Linked DNA regions of Ovis aries. The protein of the gene in region 2 interacts with the protein of the main gene of each other region in a pairwise test. Links are inferred from orthologs where the notes say so. Each region holds a gene or a part of one and is shown on either strand. Other genes may lie near its edges.

Region 1 (2,591 bases), on a different chromosome or scaffold from region 2:
ATGGTAAAGAATCTGCTTGCAATGCAGCAGACCTGGGTTTGATCCCTGGTATCAGGAAGATCCCTGGAGAAGGAAATGGAAACCCACTCCAGTATTCTTGTCTGGAGAATCCCATGAACAGAGTCCATGGGGATACAAAGTGTTGGACATGACTGAGTGACTAACACTTAAACTCTAGGGTATATTATGTGTGTATAGTCAATACCCATTATGTCCAGTCTTACTTATCCTTTTTCCAGATCAATCTCACTGCCCTGAAATAACACAAAAGCACAGCATGAAAGAGGCTGTAGTTTGTCCTAACCTACAGATGAAGAAGGGCTTCCCTGGTAGCTCAGATGGTAAAGGATTTGCCTGCAATGCAGGAGACCTGAATTCCATCTCTGGGTTGGGATGATCCCTTGGAGAAGGAAATAGCAACCCACTCCAGTATTCTTGCCAGGAAGTTCCCATGGACGGAGTAGCCTGGTGGGCTATGGTCCATGGGGTGGCAAAGAGTCAGACACGACTGAGGGACTAACATGTACAGATGAATAAACAATAATGGGTTACTGGAGATATTGTGCAATTATTCACGGCAAATCCTTGAATGCTGTCATCTTCCTATTCATGTTGGTACTCTCCACTTGGTTTGGATCTTTGACATTGCTATTCATGTTCATGGGTGCTCTAACAGACAGTATTCCACGAGAGACCACTTAAAGTTCCAGGTAATTAAAACAGGAGAAAACTTCCACCAAAGGAATGAATAAATGATTTGACTTCATACTCTTCATGACCAACAGTAATTCATCTGCTAATGCCTTTTGGGTGGCCAAGGAAAATGTTCTCAGGTTCCATGTTCTGCCTCTGATTGCTTGGATTTCCTTTAGCTCTATCCTCCAGAATCTTCCCTGCATGTCAACTCCATCCCTCTGGGAGGCTGTGTCTTAAGCAATAACACTTAGGGTCACCACTGTTACTCCTGTACCTCGGTAGCTTTCCTTAAAGGTAAGACTCAATTCCTAAGTGCATTGCTATATATTTATATGTAGCCCTCCCTCACTTTTGTAATTTCCAAATTTTGCATTTGACAGGTACTTCAGAGAGCAAGAAACCACTGTATATACACTGCTTATATTCAAACTTAACTTGTCAACACCTTGCGGCTTCAGCTGGGTGCCGTGGGGCTACAGAAGTGCCAGTTCCTTATGGCTGATCCGTAATAGAAGAATTTCCCCCACTAGCCACAGATGGAACACAGCACCTACAGGTCAAGAATGAGGCGTCCTAGGTCCCTTTCCTTTTCTTTTCTTTTACATTGCTGCTTCTGGCAAAGCCACAGCTGTGTGGGGCAGCTACATGTCCGTGTTACAATGTCCTGGTGTGTGGGCTGGCCATGGAGTGAGTGGTCACAGAGGATCTTGCCTCTGGTTAGTGAATGGGCAGATGCTAAATATTTACCTGTCATTTGTTGCCAGTCTGGAACTTAGACCCGGCTAAACCCAAGGTTATTGTGAATGGAGGAAAGTGCCCACTTTAACAAAAATTCACCATTGAGCAAGAATTCCTCGTTGCAGCCAAAAATCACAGTGTTAAATCTGGTGTCAAACTTGGCAGCAGAAATGTGCTTCTGCCGGAGGAAACAGCGACAGAAATAATGTGCAAGCTTAGCATTTCTCTTTATAATCAGGATTCTTGAAAATTAGGTATTGTTGTTTCACTCGAGGGTTTACAGCTGGTTGAACTATACAAATGTACTAAAAAAAGACTGTAGACGATAAAATTTAGAATTGCAGAAATACTTGCTGTCTGAGAGAAAGACAAAATGTGTAGCTCTAACATTTGGTTTAATTCAGAAGCATTTTCTCTCTGGGGGCCACTTACCTCTAACAATACACTATTGATCATGGGGTTAAGGACCTCGGCCTTCTGGTTGCTCTGTGGAATCAAAAGTATGAAATTGACAGATTAGGTGCTCATACTCCAAGGCTTGTCAAAGTGTTAAGATGCTGGCTTTATGAGGGATCTCTTAGAGAAGAAGAGGAGAAGTGGAATGCTTACTATACATGAGGCTTCATACTTGGTGCTTCCCCTATACGATCTCATTTAATTTCCACAGAGATTTTAGGGGGTAGGCAGGGACCACGATAACTCTGATTCACAGATGAGAAAATATGAATCAGGAAGGTTGAGGAAGTTATTTAAGGTCATGTAGCTAGAAGTTTAAACTCAGACCTTTTAAACCATTCAAATCTTATATCAGGTTTGGGATTAGGGGGAGGTGAGTGAGATTGAGTTGGACAGAGTTAGCTTCAGTCTTTGCTTAAAATTTTTATATTTTGTTCATCATGACTTTTGGTATTCATTTTGATTTTTAAAATATTGCATCTATCTAGATGACTGAGGTTGTCTATTTGTCTCTTTTTGAGAGATGGTCCCCTTAAATTTGGTAGACAGGTTAAGTACCTTTACTTGCCTTTACTAGTCCCAGCCCTAGTCTGTCTATTTTTCTTTTAAATACAAGCACAGGTACTTGGTTTTAGGGTATGTCTTCTAGGTTGGCAGCAAAGTTAAAATACTCGACTATAACTTGCAAACAGGTTGGCAGA
Region 2 (3,655 bases):
TGGGGCTGGTGCATGGTGATGACCCAGAGAGATGTTATGGGGAGGGAGGTGGGAAGGGGGTTCATGTTTGGGAACGCATGTACACCCGTGGTGGATTCATGTCAATGTATGGCAAAACCAATACAGTATTGTAAAGTAAAATAAAGTAAAAATAAAAATTAAAAAAAAAAAAAAGAAGTCATGGGACTTCAGATTGACTCCATTTTAAGTCTGGTGTCCTGACTGAATTCCTTGAATCTGGGAGTCAAGGTTCCATGGTACCAAATGGCTACTTCAGTGTGTGAGTTCAGGCCTGTGGTTCATAGAAAAGGGAGAGTGGGCAGATAGTCACCCAGGTGTCTCTACTATGCTTGAATTCTATAAATTATTCATGGAGACCACCTTTATCAAGTTAGTGCTTCATTCCTACAGAGAATTCTATAGTTCTCTCTCTCCACCACCAAAAAGCTTTATGTTTCAAACCATAGACTCTGGGGTCAAAGGGCTCTGGGTTCCATACTAGGGCCTACCTGTACATAGAGATTCACCTCTGCACTTCTGCACAGGTATGGGAAATTGCCTCCTGTTTTAAGGTGAGCCCTCCGGGCATTAGGATACAGTTTGTACATTTCTTCTTTAGCTTCAGTTGAAAGTGCACTCTGGTCAAACACCTTTAAAATAATATGAGGACAAAACTGTTATTTCAATGTGTTCTTTTCACATTAAGCGAAGTGTCCCCCCAAGCACTCCTTTCAGGAGACATGGCTGAACCTTTCTGAAGCCTGGGCCACCACCTTCTGCTCATCCCTAGTGACTCTAACTCCAAAGTAAGAAGCCCAGATTTTACTGCCAAATGTCTTTTGCATTGTTTAGGGGAAAAAAATTCTACCATGAATTTCATTTGTCCTCAAAGATAGTTAATTAAATTAACAGAACATTAATAGAAAACAATCACTGAAAACACCAATTTCAAAAAGATCATGAAACCCCAAAAGAACTTAGTATTAATTTAAAAACAGTTATATGTATGATATGCTCTGTGAAAATAATTATTGAAAAATTAAGAATATTAGATAAAAAGTCCAGGCCCTTTCCTGGGGGAGCCACTGTTGGAAGTTTGCAATATATGACTCAAGAATCTTATAATACTCACATAAATTTATGTTCAAACTCATGCAAAAATTATTCAAATAAGACAAAAAAAAAAAACAACATGAAAATAAAGATAGGTGCGTCTCCACCCTGCTAAAACTTCTAGACATTTTAAGTGACCATGTACTTAAGTGGTGAGCATAGCTTTGAAAGTGCGGGCAGAGCAAATGCACTATGAGGACCATGTATTTCTTTGAGAGTATTGACAAGCTTACTCTGTGTCATTGTAAATGCTGGAATGTAGCAATTATAATAGAAAATGGTAAGTTATTATACACGTTTGTAATAATTTCCTGATAAAAATCAGTTTTTAATTTAAACACCATATTACTTGCATTTAGGAATAAATCTATTGTGAGACAAACAGTTATATGATTAAAATAAAAAGTCAAAGCCACAGTGAGATACCACTTCACATCCATTAGGGTGACCGCTATTTAAAAAAAAACAACAGAAAATAACAAGGATATTGGCGAGGATATGGAGCAATTGGAGACCGTGCGCACTGCTCATGGGAATGTAAAATGGGATGCCCCCTGTGGAAGATGGTAAGGCAGTCCCTCTAGGAGTTAAACAGAATTATCAAATGCTTCAGCAATTCCACTTCTAGGTATGCACCACCCAAAAGCATTGAAAATAGACCCTTGAATGTGTATTTGCACACCAATATTTACAGCAGCATTATTCACAATAGCCAAAAGGTGGAAACAACTCAAATGTCTATCAACAGATGAAAGGATAAACAAACTGCGGTATATACATACAACGCAATATTACCCAACTGTAAAAGGGAATGGGTTTTAAATTTTTTAATTTATTTTTAATTGGAGGATAACTGGGTATTTTTAACATATGCTTTAACATGGATAAAGCTTAGAAATATGCTAAATGAAACAAGCCAGATACATAAGGATATTTATATGATTCTACTTACATGAGGTACCTAGAACAGGTAAATTCATACAGACAAAAAAGTAGGACAAAGGTTACTAGGGTCTCTAGGGGGAATGGTGAAGGAAGAGTTATTGTTTAATGGGTACAGAGTTTCAGTTTGGGATGATGGAAAGTTCTGGAGATGGATAACAGTGGCAGTTGGACCACACTATAAATATACTTAATGCTACTGAAATGTACACTTAAGAGTAGTTTAAATGGTGAATTTTGTTATGTGTATTTTACTACAATTAAAAGACATGTAAGAAGCAAGCTTTTGTGTTAACTAGCCTTTATGGAATTCTGGCACCTTCATTTTGCTGCCCAGATTTGTAACAGCTTAAAAAGAACAGCAAAGCAAACCAAAAGGGGTAAGGACTACCATGTTTGTTTAAATTTATTTTTATTTCAATGGTGTTATTCCTTCCAGGAAAAATACAGGATAAGCAATAAAAGATTTTTTTTGAAATTGAGAAAGCTGTGTGGGGGGCAGGTGGTAAAAACAAATTCAAGGCAGTGTTTGAAGCAACACTGAAAAATCGTAAAATGATTTGTGAGGTGGATCTTGACATGTACATATAAAAAAGGTAAAGCATCTGTTTTACTTAAAGTAAACTTACATCCATAATGGTTACAGGGATGTCCCGAATTTTATGAGGTTCCACATAAGAATTTTGACAATTCAGGGTAAGTCTTGAAGCCAGTTCACTCTGACCCAAACTTTCCAGCTGCAGGAAAAAACACAGGTAAAAGTTTTTCAAAAAAATTTTTTTTCACAATTACATTAAATCCACAGATAATATCCTATTTATAAAGGTGACATTATGTGTGGTAGGGCCAGTAAGTTAACCTCTGAGGAGACACAATGTATTTGAGACCATAACTGGGCCCTGGAAGTGGTGATATTTTCCTGTTTTGGGCACCTGGCCTTCCACAACCCTCAACCTGAGCTGCCTCTTCAACCAGGTGCCTGTGGGCAGCAAGCCCATTCCACAAGCTTAATGAAGACAGAGAAACATTTCAGTGATCTTAGAGCTGGAAGAGGCCTCAGAAAAAATATCTATCCAGTAGTTCCTACATGCATATCTACAAACTTGCTCCATCACACTGACCTGGGGAGGTAGAAGTGGAGGAGTTCCCAGAGCCCTTGGCCAGGGATTCCAGTTCAAGGTCTAGTGTGAGGCCTTAGAATCTGTATTTTTTTAATTTCCCCAAATGATTCTGATAAATTATTCAGCAGCCATAATATCCATCTGGATGTATTAAAGTTAATGTGGAAAAGTGCTTAACAAACACCTCTAATACACACTGAGCGAGACAGGTATTTCTCAGGAACCAAGAAGACATGAAAATTCCCAGGTCAAGGTGTCCCCTCCCCAAGGTCATGATCCTTACCCTGTCTACCATGAAATCAATGGCATCAGCCATCATAGGGTCCACTGGGCCAGAGGAAAAGTTCCCAAGAACTATTTTTTTAAGCATAAATGATGGCATCAGCCAAAAGCTGTAAAAAAACAAAAAAACTGACATTTAAACTTACAAGACTATACATGAGTGGCAAGCATTCATTCAATATTGAATCTCTGTATTA

The links.
Region 1: the proteins of SPG21 (region 2) and FAM114A1 interact in binary tests that used the Homo sapiens proteins (3 or more experiments, as listed by UniProt). The two-hybrid records come from large-scale screens. The link is inferred for Ovis aries from reciprocal best matches to the Homo sapiens genes SPG21 and FAM114A1.

What each region holds. Positions count from the first base shown.
Region 1 is NC_056059.1:58,873,807-58,876,397, reverse strand, and holds part of FAM114A1 (protein NOXP20), read right to left. Parts: intron 1,921-2,591; coding exon 1,669-1,920; 3' UTR 1-1,668. UniProt on the Homo sapiens protein: May play a role in neuronal cell development.
Region 2 is NC_056060.1:11,883,840-11,887,494, forward strand, and holds part of SPG21 (maspardin), read right to left. Parts: intron 3,569-3,655; coding exon 3,460-3,568; intron 2,793-3,459; coding exon 2,685-2,792; intron 651-2,684; coding exon 510-650; intron 1-509. UniProt on the Homo sapiens protein: May play a role as a negative regulatory factor in CD4-dependent T-cell activation.